Coturnix japonica: one gene and its partner. The protein of the gene in region 1 purifies or fractionates together with the protein of each later gene. This does not show direct contact. Links are inferred from orthologs where the notes say so. Each region holds a gene or a part of one and is shown in the gene's direction. Other genes may lie near its edges.

Region 1 (7,287 bases):
GTAAGTTTTCTTTTCCACCAAGTGATGATGAAGTTTTTCTCAATAGGTTTTAAATGCAAGCGAAAAGATGAATGTAGACAACTTGTTTCAGAAAGATGCTCTTGTTCGACAAAGCCAGGTAAGAGAATTTTTGTGGTGAGAACGGAAATAGATGAGTAAACACTTAAATATTTATGAAACTAATGTTACATCAGCTTTAGAAAATATGAGCTCTGTGTATTTTATTAAGCTGTGTCAAGTAACTATTTCTTTATATTCATCTAGGCCTGTGCAGCAATATTGCTCCTTGATTTCTAGAGATCAGAAATATTTCAGGCTGGGCTGGAGAGCATAGAAGGCTGAGAACTGTTCCAATTTGGATCATCTGCAACTGTTGTTACTAATTAAGGAGCTATTAAATAGTGCAGTAGTAACTGCAGCATCTAGTGAGAAATATATCAAGTGCCAAAACAAGCTTCAAACTGGGCACTTAAGTTGAGCTTTTTCTTAGGATATGTACGCCTTGGATTACTGTGTAGATATCAAATAGATTCAGAGATGAGAGAAAGATGGAGTATTATTTATTGTGTGTTTGTTCTAAAAAAAGCTATTGAATTTCATTCCAGCTGGTGGTAGATTGGCTAGAGAGCATCGCCAAGGATGAAATTGGGAACTTCTCTGATAATATTGAGTTTTACGCAAAATCTGTGTATTGGTGAGTTCAGACTTTTGATTGTATCCATGCTTCCTCAATTGTAATATTCACAGAACCAGACACAGAATCAGTCTAGAACCACCTAAGAAGTTGGTCCATTCATTCATTTTTCCTTAAATTCATTGATATGAAAAGTGAGCTACTCCCCAGTTTGGCTATGTCTTCTCAAAAGTCAGATACTGCCTTTGGGAGGAGCAGGTGACAGGAAGGTTGTGAAAACAATTTAATTTAGTTTTACATAGATGACAGTTTAATTTTTCATCAAAAAGACATCAAAAAGATGGTCAGCTGCTGATCAGCAGGTGATAAAACTGTTCTCATGTGTTTCTCTTCTGTGCTCAGTTCTTTGTCTGGCTTTTGAAGTTCGTGTCATCACTTTTTACCATTTATCCTTCACCAAAAGTAATTATTGTCATCTTTATTACCAGCCAAGGATTTTAAGGCAGTAGAGAGCAAAGTCTTCTTGATTCTAGTTCCTATTATAAGCATTGTTTTAAAGACAGGTGAACACAGGCTTCTGGAATCGTGTGTTCATCCTAAGTTGTATTTCTATCCAAGACCGATAATGCTGAACACTAATGGGAAATCTTGTTCATGCAGAAATGGATTAATAGTTCATATACATTGAAAGTGGTTTTGAAAGAAGTCAAAGCCACGTGCATTGATTCCAGTATTGTACTTCTAATGAAATTGTACGATAACACTGTTCATTGATGCACAAACCAAACCAAGCATTCCTTTCTTGTAACCCTATTCCAATTATCCAGAAATATTTTCTAATTTTAATGTCTTATTAAAATGTTTGCTATTAATCCCTTCTTTCTCTCAAAAACATTTCACTGCTCCCAGGGAGAATACGCTACATATCCTGAAGCAGCGACAGTTAAGTACATTCATTGGAAGTTCTCGACCTCTGGTAACAGAATTGGTAAGTGTTATTTAAATATAAGACTTGGTTTTGGGCATAAAAGCCATTCAAAATGCTTTGCACAGAACACATATGCTGTTTTCTAAAAATGGGTGGAACGGGGCAGTTTTTGGTATCTATAAATTGTTGTAGTATCTAAAAATGACAAGGCATTAAGTTGGAAAATCAGTACAGAAATGGTGAAGCAGTAAGGAGGTCGCTGATGAGAGGATATTAGTGAATGCCAAAGTTGGAAGTCGCTGGATGATTAATATAATGATTAAAATTATCAGATCTTGATATATTTGTTTTAAATAGAAGCAAGTACAACTAGTGTGAAAAGGCTGCTGAGAAGCTGGAGGAGTATAGACAGGTAGATTGATAAGCAGAAGGGGAGAGGGCTTTTAAGGTGGGAAGAGCTGGAAGATGAGAGGTTTGAGGCAGAGGCATAGTGATAAATAAGGAGATTACAGTTGATAGGAACAGTGACAGAAGAGGAATAAAGGAAATAAAGACAAGGAAGCATCATGCTAGAGATTATGTGGGCTGTATAACATGTTGTGCCAATATGAAAATGTGACTCTGAATTGTAAAACAGGACAGGAAATCATTGGAAGAGGCGGATACGCATTATTTGAATGGATGGATGGTTCCTTTTTTTCCTTGCAGGATCCAGATGCTCCCATTAGACAGAAACTGCCACTTGATGATTTGGATCGAGAAGACGATGCAAGATTACTGAAGTATCTCTTCACTCTTATCAGAGCAGGGATGACAGATGAGGTAAACCTCAGAAAATGAAAGAATATTCTCGGTTAAGTAGTTTAACTTGTTTAAAACCTTACTATTAAAGCTGTATGATTTGAATGGAGCTGAGGGAAAGTCATGGCATAGCATGTTACCTTTTTTTTTTTAACCTTTACTGTTTGGCCAGGTGTCTTTGTAAGGAAAAACCTCAAATAGACTGTATTGGAATATTCTAGAAAGCATACTATTCTCCATTCACCCTTTTACTATAATTCTGCTTCTTGGCTGCTCTACAGAATATACAATGCGTATACAAGTTGCGCCAGGGCAAGTTTAGGTTGGATATTAGGAAGAACTTCTTTACAGAAAGGGTAGTTAGGTACTGGAATAGGCTCCCCAGGGAGGTGGTTGAATCCCCATCCCTGGATGTGTTTAAGAGCCGTCTGGATGTGATGCTCAGGGATATGATTTAGTGTAGGGTTTTTAGAGTTAGGGTTCTGGTTAGGCTGCAATTGGATTTGATGGTCTTCAAGGTCTTTTCCAACCTGGGTAATTCTATGATTCTATATTTTGCCTTAATCCTTATCTGAGTAACATCTGGCAGTCCTGGTCCTAATGCTGTTCCAAGTAAAGATGTCCAGTTGTGAAGCAGCTTTTGTGATTTAACGTAACTAGCTGTACTGTGGTGTGGTCTGAGCTGGAAGCTCAGTCTTATACCAGGCTCTACAATTATATGACATTTGGAAAATGGAAAGGAAAAGGTACTTCAGATTCCTGTGTCTAAGACCTTAGATTAGAAAGTTGGTCACTTGCTGGTATTCTGTTCCCCTGTCCATTCATTGTTTGATAGTATGGGCACAAGTCCACGTTGCTTCAGAGGGGTATGAATATAAATCTTCAATTTCAGTTGCACTACGGTGTTCCTACTATCTGATAAGCATGGAGTCACTTATTCTCTGTTGAAAGAGTTAAAACCAAGAAACAGCCTTGGTTCCTTTATCTTACGATAGATAAAATATAGTATGTGAGCTTGACCATTGTCATTCCATGCTGTTCAAAATAGCTTCGAATTAAATCTCTTTGTTCTAGTGAGTAGGCTATTGATATCATGGGAAAGTTAGACGTGGTATTTTTAGCAGCACACAAGGGGTTTGGAAAGCTACGTCAATTAGAAAAGTAGGTGAAGAGATGGTTAAGGGATTTAAGCAACAAGGTGGTACTTTAAGCTTGTCAGAAGGACATGGAACAGCTGTTTAAGCCAGAAGGGTGAGACTGTAATGCATCTATCATACTTACAAGTAAGTATTGATAAAAACTTAAACATTTAATGAGAAACACACTGATTACATTTCATTACTTTGAAATTCTTCAGTTATTTTGAGTTTCAGGTTCTTTTTTGCCTAGTGCAATCCCTACACAAATGAATGATTTTAATAACGTTTGCATTTCTTCCCTTGAAGTCGATTGCAGAGAAAATCTATTATTTTTCAGGCCCAGCGCTTATGCAAACGATGCGGTCAGGCCTGGAGAGCTGCAACTTTGGAAGGATGGAAATTGTATCATGATCCCAACATAAATGGAGGTATTTACTTCCATCTGCATTTGAGAACTGTAAAAATAAGCAGAGGGTTTTCTCTTTAGCAAAGAGAATTAGCTCTTTATTTAATACTGAGGGTCTTTCTTGTGCCTAGAATATGTTTTACCATGTCTGTTGATCACATTTAACATGCATGAGATGATTTAATTGAAGGTATGAGTTCACTGAATCCACTTAACATAGTTAAGTCAATTTTTGGGTGTTTTTTTATACAAACATAGCAGCTAGGAAAACAGATGTCTAGGAATTCTGGACAGATCTTCACCACCACCATTCATGTCTCAGTACGTGTTTTCTCTATGTCAGAGAACCTTCTGCCTTCTATAATTATAGAATGGTTTGGGTTGGAAGGGACCTTTAAGACCATCTAGTTCCAACCTCCTGCTGCAGGCAGGGACACCTCGCTCTAGACCAGGTTGCTCACAGCCCTATCCAGCCTGGCCTTGAGTGCTTCCAGGTAGAGGACATCTGCAGCCTCACTGTTCAACCTGTTCCAGTGCCTCACCACTCTTAACAGTTAAGGATTTCTGATATCTGATCTAAATCTTCCCTCTTTCAGTTTAAAGCTATTCCAGTTTAAAGGCACTAAGCCAGCTAGCAAACATTTTATTGCTTATAGACTCCAAGATGGAGTCCATAAGCATTCCAAGATCTCTTGGAAGCCAAGAGATATAATAGGACTAAAGAGCTCTGCAAAGGTAAACGGAGGAAAAATACATGGTTTTATAGTATTTGGACTTTGCTAGATTTAGCAAAGGATTTATGAGCATGTCTGAGTGCTGTGCACACCTGAGACTGGAAGGCATAATGCTTTCCTGCTTTTCAAACCCTGATATCCCATTACTTTTATCTCGACTGGTGTCTTAGCCTTGTTTTGGAGTGTTGTTTTTATTATTATTATCCTTTGCAAACAGGAAACGAGGTCCGGCCTGTTGAAGGGAATCCATACAGATGCATTTGGAAAATATGTTGTTGGCGGATGGCTGAAGAGGTAAGATAATGTTAATTTGCTTGGTAGTCATGTGAAATGTTCAACTTCTTTGAACTATAACATGATTTTAAGTAAGCCTGCCTTCTTGGTTTACTGTCTGTGGGGATTTGCGGTTCATGTTTCTAAGAGGACTTCTGAAATAATATATTTTTCATGTAGATAAAACCTGCCCAATCAGCATCAATCTTTAAGGCTTTGGAAATGTCAGTTTTGTTTAGTTGAGAGTGAAGCTGCTGATGCTGGTTTTCATCTGGGCTCAGCTGAATGGGAAAGGAAAAACCATTGCTTTTCAACTTTTCAAGTGCATGGAACACTTAGTAATGGATTAGTCTCTAATAAAATGTAACTTATCAGGATGTGTTGGTGCTTTTTAACTCATGGGTAATTTTTCAACTGTTTATTTTAGGAGCAATTCAACAGATACGAGAGAGCAATCTATGCAGCACTCAGTGGAAACCTCAAGCAGGTATGTTAGGCCTCCTAGTACATGGTGTTCAGCACTTGTGAATTATTATATGTGATAATAACATCATAAAGACATTCTTCTTAATGTGCTTTCAAAAGCTTAGTAATCATGACAATAGCAATAACAGACATGGTCTGTGCAAGATTTTTCTGCCTTAATTAAATATACTTAATAGACTTTTTTAGTATTATTGTTGCTGACCCTCAGGGCAACCGGTTTTGATTTTGTTGTTTTAGATTTGAAATGTTAGTGTTATCTAAAAGCTTGTGCAGCCACTTTTCTGCCCATGCACCATATTCTGATTTGTCAGTGTAACCAAATTTCACTATTGATAGTTTCAAGTAGTTCTTCTTATGTGTTTGAATCCTCCAGGTATTTTCTGTGCTCTCCTTCTTCTAAGTACCGATGCTTTTTGTACATGTATGTAAATAAATCACTACTTAGGAGAAGGAACTGGATATGAAGTTTTAGCACAAAGACGGCAAATCAGAGAGTCATGGAATTGCTCAGGTTGGAAAAGACCTTAAAGATAATCGAGTCCAACCACAACCCAACCATATGACCCCATCTAACAACCCTCTGCTAAATCATGTCCCTGAGGAAAAAAAACTGATCCTAAGTTACAGTTGGTGTGTTTGGATTCTGATGGTTCTCCATCTCTAACATTTTGCTCTGTTCTGTTGCTTAAAATATGCAGCTTCTTCCAGTTTGTGACACGTGGGAGGACACCGTTTGGGCTTATTTCAGGGTCATGGTGGATACACTCGTGGAGCAGGAAATACGAACATCAGTAGTAAGTGCCGAGGAGGTGGAAGAGCTCCCGAGGGAGTATTTAGAAACCAAGTAAGTTTTAGGTAGCAGTTGTGTTCCTCCCCTCAACAAAGGATCGTTTCACAGTATTAAATGTAATGTTTGTGGTGTGGGGTTTTTTTTTAACCTTCTGTCTTCTACTTTAAAGCTGGACTTCAGAAAAAGTATTTGAAGAACTTCAGGCAACAGACAAGAAGGTATTTATTGCTGACAGTTTCTCCTCACTGTTGGCTATTTTAACTTACACAGTCCTTTGTGCTCCTCTATTTCATCAAACAGTGACTGGCTTTCTGTCCCTGTAATGTATTCTTCATTCAAATAGATTTTTCTGACACCTTTTAATGATGAAGAAGGTGCAGGTTTTGTCTTGTTTCTTATCTGCCAAACTAATTGAATGTGCTGAAGAAACAGCGGAGCACAAATTGCTGTCAGACGTGCAAAGCAGACAATGTAAATCGCATTATTAACACTCTGATAAAATGTGTGAAGAATGATTGCTTGGGGTTTTCTTTGTGGGAGGTTCGCATGTATATTTCAGAGCAGGTCTTTCAAAAGAAGTATGTATATTTTTAGTACACTGTGTTTGTCCTTTCATTTAAGCTGGAATAGATAAATTAGATGTTAATTTTTGTAAAGATTAAATTGAAACTGTATTAGATGGGGTCAAATGAAAAGCTTGCAGATGGAAGCAGCCAGCCAGGTACACTCAGCTGCCGTGGCCTTTCTGGTGCTGTGCTCACCAGCCAGTTTCATGGGTGCATTTGAATTGTGTTTCATGCCTTAGTTTCCCTACAGAAAAGATATATTCAAGTGAGTTTCACAGGCCTTTTCCCTAAAGATTCATAGACAGTGTTGCAGCTTTTATGACTTTGTAGAATCTATTCTAATACACAGTCATTCTGTTCAAAGCAAGAAGCCCTTATTCTTAGATCTCTATTATGAAAGCATTAACTTCACGGATCTATATTCCAGCTCTTTCAGTTTGCTGATATCCTTGTAATTGAAAATGGACATAGTGTGGGCAGTTTCTTTAATGCAGAAAACCCTTTGAACTTCTTTTTTTCCTCTAAGAAAC
Region 2 (7,954 bases), on another chromosome or scaffold:
ATGCGGATAACATCCTTCTGTGTTAAAATCCACCTTGGGAGCAATGAGACAGCGCCATCTCCACGTCACACTGCTCTGCATCCCATGGCTGTTCATTCAGGTGAGTGCAGGAATTGCCTTTAATGGCTACCATTCCCTGCAGGGCAAAGCTGGTAGTTGCCCATTGCACACACCAGGATCACATCCATTGAATCCCCACACACCTCCCCATCTGGTCCTTGTAATATTAGAGATGGATCTGCTGCTTCATTTTGTGTTCTGCATCCATCTTCTCTGAGGCACGGTCTGGAAACTGCTCTGCAACCCATCCCACAGCACGCAGGGACTCCTCCTTGTGTCCAGTGGGTCAGGAAGGAAGGCAAAAAGCTGTGGAGTTATAAGAATTCCCAAAGGGCAGCAAGTACAAAGAACAAATAGTCATTGTAAACACACGCAAACAAAAATACTTCATTGTTTTAAATGCAAAAGGCATTTTCTGTTGTCAGATGCGAGCAAGCTGCGTTGCTTTCACATAGAGAGGCTGTTAGCAACAAACTAGCTGACCCATGCTTAAAAGCATTCCAGAGATACTTACCCCCCTGGGAGACCAGAAATACCAGAGAAGCCATTTTCTTACAGCCTGATTGTTCCTCCCAGCACCAGGCTTGAATTAGGCTTATGCTTGTCGGAGAATAGAGAAAGAGCATAACCTTATCTCAGAGCAACACACAAACCTACCCTGCAGCTTTCGGGCTGAGCTTGGCCATTTATTGGCACAGTGCTTGGCGTGGTTTCTCAGATAGTGACAAGAATGGAAGTGATATCTGGGGTGGTAACAGGCGGGTGTGAAGGAAATGGTTTGGCTGTGCAGATTTCCAGGAACAAGAACACCAACACTTAAGACAAGCCAATTGGGCTCAAACGACACAAAAACTACAGTGCATCAATGATGCACCCTTCTGTGCATTAAACAGCCGTGAGAGTCACTTGCATTTTTTGCTGTATAGCTCCAGACCATTAGTTTGTTATTAAAACCTATTAAGAGCATGCTTGGCAATAAAAACCCATGAAAGAATGCCTGTGTTCTATGCTAGAATAATAATAATTAATTAAAAAATATATATAATTTTTTAAAGTGTTTTCTGTCTGTCAGCACATTTTCATCTGCTCTGACACTTAAGATTCCTTCATCTTCCTCCTCGCTTGTTGTAAGGGTGGCTAGTATAAAGATGCTAACAAAGATGATGGTAGATAGTCAAAGGTTATTAGCAAAGGAAAACTCACCAACATCAATGTCTTGACCAGAAAGCTGAGGCAGTCTCCACTGAGGACCAATCTCCCAGAGATGCTGTCTCAGTGGTGGTCAGCCCTTAAATGAGGTCTTAGAGGAGGTGGTCAAGGTCCACCCCTTCCTGGAGCACAGCTAAATTACTCTCACCTGTGCTCCCACAGCTGACCCAGCACTTGCCTCAGCTGATTAATCAGAGGTTCAAGCTGTGATTTCCCATACACTTGTCCAAACCAGCATCGACACCTCAGTCCCCACATGTCCAGTTTCAGGCCTCTCTGCCTTCCAGAGGTACAACTACCTCCCCAATGCCTCCATGCCCTGCCAAGGAAGGGGCAGGGAGATGCCAGTAGCGGGCCATTATGTGATTGCTCTGATGTGGAGATCCCAGTAGTTTTTAGCATGCAGCCCATTACTTCTCTCTCCTTTTCTGCACATTCACCCACATCTCTTGTACATTTATATATAAACCCTTCCGTGCTACTATTTCTGTTTCATCCCTTCCCTCCCACCTCATGCTCCCATTAGAATTTTGAAAGCCTTTGAATTTCAAAAGCATATGAAAAGTTGTTCATCACTGTCTGGTCCCATCTGCTTCTGCATATACATACGGCAAGCAGCGATTTCTTTATGAAATGGTGCTGCTGAGCATTTCCGCAGCTATGTCCCAAACCACACACTAATTGGCTTCTACACTTACACTCATTCCTCTCCCTGCCCCTGTTCTGTTTTTAACTGAATCGTTCTCCTTCATCTTCTCTCTTCCTGTTGTCCCAAATCAGCCTTAATTTTCTATTTCCATTTCAGATGTTTGCATCGAAGGTCATTTTGCACTCTGCCTCCATAGGTCAGGGCAAGCAAGAGCTATGGGTGAGCTCACAGCCCCAGCTCTCTGCTCCTACATCTGCTCTGCAGTGCCCTGCATTGGCAGCTGTGCTTGTTCAGGAGATTGAAGCAGGCACTTCCCTAAGTTAGCACACTCCTAACTTTAGTCACAATGAGAACAACCTATAACTCTCTCTATAACTTCCTGAAGGGGGGTTGTAGTGAGCTGGGGGTTGGCCTCTTCTCTCGTGTAATCAGTGATAGAACTAGAGGGAATGGTTTTAAGCTGCGGCAGGGGAGATTCAGGCTGGACATGAGGAAGTATTACTTCTCATAAAGGGTAGTCAGGCATTGGAATGCACTGCCCAGGGAGGTGGTGGAGTCACCGACCATGGGAGTGTTCAAGAAACGTCTGGATGTTGTGTTGAGGGATATGATTTAGCTGGGAAGTATTGGTGATAGTTGGACTGGATGATCTTCTAGATCTTTTCCAACCTTGATAATTCTGTGATTCTGTGAACCCATACAAACTCATTTCTGCCTCTGCTGCATGTTTGGGCCCAGCGCCCAGAACCAGCATTGTCTGCTCTTAAAGTCCTTATTGACAACCTGAGTAATGCTTGATGAGGCATTTTGTCTTGTGGTCTTTGTTTCTCTCTTTCACTTGTTTAATTGAATTTGATCTTATACTGAAATAACGTGCTAACACAGTACCCATCTTTTATAATGATCAAATGTGGAGATTAAAGGCCTACAAAGCAGCCCTAAATCCAACACAGAACGTGCTGCCAAAAGAAACTTAAAAAAAAACAAGACAGGGAAGAAAAATTGCTTCTTTTTCCCATCCCAGTGTAAACAGTCTGTGCCCCTCCTACTCGATTTAGTGCTTCCCAAATCACAGAATCACAGAATGACCTGGGTTGGAAGGGACCTCAAGGATCATGTAGTTCCAACCCCCTGCCTGGCTAGCCGGCCGCAAAACAGAACATGACACGACTTTTACTAGATCAGGGTTGCCCCAGTGCCCCGTCCAAACCTTGCGGTCTCTGAATCACCTCCCAAGGGACGGGGCATCCCACAACCTCCCTGGGCAGCCTGTTCCAGGGCCTAACCACTCTCCTAGTGAAGAACTTCCCCCTAACATCCAACCTAAATCTTCCCTCTTTCAACTTAAAACCATTTCCCCGTGTCCTGCTATTGTCAGCCCTTTCGAAGAGTTTACTCCCCTCCTGGGAGTAAGTTCCCTTCAAATGCTTTCCATCAAGCGCTCCTGAGCAAAGAGAAGAACCAGTGGCAGTGCGAGCTGTGAGAAAACACAGCAAGAAGTGGGAAGGTGCCTGTGGGAATGGCCTATGGGCCCGGCCGTGTCATCGCGGAGCTCGCTTTACAGCTGACCCCTGAACTTTGTGCACAGCAGTTGTTCATGGCTCTGGTGATGAGTCGCTGGAAGGGGCCCAAAGGGATCGTAGAGCCCAGCGCCTGGCGCTGCGCAGCACCACCCGGATTCACGCCCTAGCTCGGTCTGAGCGTGTCATGCAGACGCTCCTTGAGCTCCGGCTGCCTCGGGGCTGTCAGTGCTGCCCTGGGGATCCTGCTTGTGATACACAAACGTTCGGCCGCGTACTATTTGGAGGTGAAAAAGAACGCCCGCCCGCCCGCGCTCTCCGCCGCTCCCGGCGCTGTCCCTCGGCGCTCGCCGTCGGGCCGCAGCCAATCAGGCGGCTCGTGGCAGCGGCGGGAGCCGTGCGGCGCCATGGAGGAGGTGTGCGCGCGGTTCGTGTCGCAGAAGATCAGCAAGGCCCGATGGCGGCCCCTGCCCGCCGCCGCGCTGCAGCCCCCGGAGCTCTTCGCCACCGGCTCCTGGGACAACGAGGTAACGCGGCACGGCCTTACCGGGCGGGTCGCTGCCTCCCCCGCCTCGGGCCCCGCAGGCGCCGGGGAGTCCTTGTCCGCAGCCCACAGGTAAAAGCGGCCGTGTCGTTTCCCTGCAGGACAACCGCATCTCCGTGTGGTCTGTGGGAGATGCGGGAAGCGCGGACCTCAATGGGGAATATCAAGGAGAGCCTCAGCTGCTGTGTGACATCCGGCACAACGGAGACGTGATGGACATGCAGGTGAGGGAGCTGCTCGTCATCTGAGGCAAACGGGGTGACAAGGAGCTGACTTGGGGGTTGGAACTACATGAGCCTTGAGGTCCCTTCCAACCCGGGTCATTCTGTGGCTTTTAACAAAGAAAGTTATGAAGAGTGGCAAATTAAATGAGTATCAGTTTGTGGGTGTTTTACTGCACCTACCCACACATCTGAATACTCTGAATTGAAAATCACCATCCTGGTGTTGATATCAACTCATAACGTGCTTGTTAATCTCTTTAGTTTTTGGATCAAGAGAGAATTGTTGTTGCCTCATCAACAGGAAGCGTGACTGTGTTCCGGCATCATCAGAACAACCAGGTAGGCACCTGCAGCTGCAGTGCGGGTCCCTTGGATCTCAGCGTGAGATTTCTCAAATTAAAAGCAGGAGGCATCCAGAGTCAGCAATAAATTCTTCAAAGCATTTTAGAAGTAGATTTGGTTTTGTACCTGCACAGGGAGAAAAACATCTTCGACACACACAGCATAAATCAGATTCCAGAGCCAGACAGATTGGGTTCTGTTAATATGTTGTAAGCAATAGACCACTCACTAAAAATGTACTTGAGTTTTTATGCGGTTATATATATGAGAATAAATAATTTCAGGGAGTGGGAATGAGTGAACTTGTACTTTTATTTATTTGCATGGCACAACAAAGACTAACATCTGTTAATAGTTTCATGTGGTACTTAGGATAAACCGAGTTTCCTTCAATCAGAATCTAAATCTGATCTTACACTTTGTAAAGGCTCAAGTTCTATTTCTTTGTCCTAGGAAAAGATTGGAGGCTAAGTCTAGTGAGAGATACTTCATATTCAGACATAGATCCTATTAATTCCAAGTTCTCTCTCTTGTGTGAAAGAGATGGTTCAGAGCAGACAGTGCCTCACTGAAGGGAGACCAAGGAAGTTCAGATTTCTGGTTCTTATTTATGTAGAAGATTCCTATTGCAGTGAGGTACTATGGCTTTCCTGGAGCTTCTTTCCAGTTGTATGAGTATTTGTGAGTATTCCGAAAGCTTTACTCAATCGGGATCGTTATTTACCAGCAGAATCTCATGTCTGGTTGCTACTTAGACTCTATCTGCCAGTCACCGGTGGGAGAACGCCCATTATCACGCGGATCAATACACAGCTTGTGGTGGAGCAGCGTGTACCGGAGTCATCTGCAACAACCCAGAAATTGTCACTGTCGGAGAAGATGGTAGAATTAATCTCTTCAGAGCTGACCAAAAGGATGCAGTGAGGACTATAGGTATGTCAAGTCAATGCTCAGCATGTTTTGGTTTGGAACATCTCGGTTGGTGTATAGAATAGAATATTTATTTTAGCCAAAATATTGTGTGACAGAAAGGAAAGCAATTGAGAACTGAATTCAATATCCCAAGGTGAATGTATTTCCTCCAGGTCATTCCTACATTCCTCCAGACTTACAAGTATTTGAAGTATGTTTCAGATATGTTTCTATATGCATTCAGTTTGTAAGTTATGTTTTAACTGGTGGAGATGTTTTAAGATTTAACATTCCCAGAATGCTTCTGTTTGATCTGGAGTCATTAAATGCTCTGATAGAATGCACGAGATAGTTCTATTTCCAGAAGCATCGTGTCATCAATTGTTTATAAGCAGGGGTCGGTAACTACTGTCATTTCAATTCATTATTTATAGTAAGCTTAAGCCTTGTGTTATCCATACTCAAAACCATCAATTTGTGTGGAAAAGAATTTGTGTGTTCTAAAGGAGCACAAGGAGCCAGAAGTTACTATTTGTCCCCTGTTGTACCAGGTGCCATGGCTCACAGCCGTCATCTCTCACTTAGTGAAATGGGTTCATGTTTCTTGAGATAGAATTATCTAATAGAGTAACAAGTGCTTGTGGAAGGTGTCAAAGCTTATTCTCAGCATTTCCATCTTGCTGCCTTCATGGAGTAGCATGTGGAAAACAAAAGCAGAAATGATATGAAGCGCAGTAACAGCATTATTGATAATGGAACTTTCTCCCTGAAACCTCAGTTTGACACGTTGCCTGTGTTTCTCCTCAAGTGAAATCTTGCTTCAGATTGAACAGATGAAGGAACTTAGACAGTGATAAGCCAATTAAGGAATGAAGCTCCCTGGGATTTCTGGAGGGGGGTATTTGTGTGTGCAGGGCTGTATACATGCACACACAAAGCAAATCCTATTAATTGCATACAGTTCTTTACTGAAGCTCTCTGAGAACTGCAGGAAGTCATTTTAAAACATAGGAAGAAACACAGAAGTTGCACAAGGCAGAGTTTTATCAGTAACACGCAAAAAAAACCCAAAACCCTGTAACTCTTCAACTCTTCAGCACTGAGGGGAAAAAAGTAATTAGTTAAAAAGGTTTATTTTAATTTCAAGTTTTCATTTATAAATGGATACCAGCACAGAATGTTTCGGTACAGGTTTAATGGAACAGAATGTTTTGCTGACTCAGGAGGGAAATGTCCTCACAGATCTCTGTTTTTTTCTGAGCAGTTGCTCAAATGATTGTATTCAGATGTAATAATGTGCAGGATGCAATCAGTAGTTTTCTTAGTGCTCATTGGTGGTATTATGTAAAAATGATTACTTTGTACTGGTAACATAAACTGAGACTGCACTGAGGTGCTGAGCTCAGCAGGAACATATGCATAAAATAAATCAGATGTGAATTAACTGAGAAATATCCTTTTGGAAACAGAAATAATAAAATATAAATGAACCATAAATAATTCAGTCAAATGTGTGACTTGGTGAGTTGATCTTACTTGGACTTAAGTGGAAAGGACTAGCAGAAGCTCATTGATTAGAGGTGGTTTAAGACTAAAAGTTGGAATGGGAGAGAAGAGGAAATGTTGGAAGATGCTTTAAAGTTGCCTGGGATGGGGTTAGTTTAGTTTTTAAATAGCTGGAGTGGAAATAGATTTATGTTACCCCATCATAATCAAGATTAAAGAGTTACATAACACAGAGTGATTCTATATGGATGCAGTGCTTGTTTTAGTCTCTCCTAAAGCCTCTTGTTTCAAGTCAGTTCTGTGACCTGTTCTTGGCACTTGTAGAAAACTGTGATCAGAAGGAGCACTGTAGAAAAAGACCTGGAAAATGGCTTTCTCATTTGTTCAGATTAACAGACAAAGCATTGTTTCTGTTTGTCTTTAAGGATGAATATGATATTGATGACTGCTCTTGGAAAGTGCCTGAAGAAAGTATTTTAAACACCGATTGCTGAAATAAGTGCTTCTGTGTTCCACTGTTCTGTGTTCTCAGCAAGAATTACAGCTTCTTGTAGGAGAAACAGAAAGGAGAAGAGCATTCTTAAAAACTCCGCAGCCTTTCTTGTATTTGTGGATTGAGAGCTTGTAAAGAGAACTCTCAGGAAAGTCACAGGCTCGGCTTAATTGATTATTCTTAGGTACTCCAGAAAGAAAACTTACGGATTAGCAAGTGAGTCAGTAAGAACTGGATCTAATCAAACACAGCTTCTTACAGGTTTGTCTAGATAATATTTCTATAGGAAGCAAGGTTATTCTTGCAACACTTAAAATTTCACATAACGCTGGGCCATCTCTGACCCTGAGAATGTAGTCTGGTTTTAGAAGAGCTGTTTAGTGTTCATTAAATGGAGTTAAGTGTTCTGTAGGTTTACCTGAACTTGTAGTTTAATGCTTTGCTAACCTCTCTTGCAGACAATGCAGATAGCAGTACGCTCCATGCTGTGACTTT

Evidence for each region.
Region 2: the proteins of NUP107 (region 1) and NUP43 purify together in Homo sapiens (affinity purification with mass spectrometry; 8 studies listed by BioGRID and IntAct, counting the BioPlex papers as one, with this or other methods). This does not show direct contact. The link is inferred for Coturnix japonica from reciprocal best matches to the Homo sapiens genes NUP107 and NUP43.

Annotation. Positions count from the first base shown.
Region 1 is NC_029516.1:31,997,221-32,004,507, forward strand, and holds part of NUP107 (nuclear pore complex protein Nup107), read left to right. Parts: intron 1-46; coding exon 47-118; intron 119-605; coding exon 606-694; intron 695-1,543; coding exon 1,544-1,622; intron 1,623-2,270; coding exon 2,271-2,384; intron 2,385-3,839; coding exon 3,840-3,930; intron 3,931-4,859; coding exon 4,860-4,936; intron 4,937-5,342; coding exon 5,343-5,402; intron 5,403-6,099; coding exon 6,100-6,245; intron 6,246-6,360; coding exon 6,361-6,409; intron 6,410-7,287. UniProt on the Homo sapiens protein: Plays a role in the nuclear pore complex (NPC) assembly and/or maintenance. Required for the assembly of peripheral proteins into the NPC. May anchor NUP62 to the NPC. Involved in nephrogenesis.
Region 2 is NC_029518.1:43,394,280-43,402,233, reverse strand, and holds the start of NUP43 (nucleoporin Nup43), read left to right. Parts: upstream 1-3,799; 5' UTR 3,800-3,845; coding exon 3,846-3,965; intron 3,966-4,083; coding exon 4,084-4,206; intron 4,207-4,467; coding exon 4,468-4,545; intron 4,546-5,303; coding exon 5,304-5,481; intron 5,482-7,917; coding exon 7,918-7,954. UniProt on the Homo sapiens protein: Component of the Nup107-160 subcomplex of the nuclear pore complex (NPC). The Nup107-160 subcomplex is required for the assembly of a functional NPC.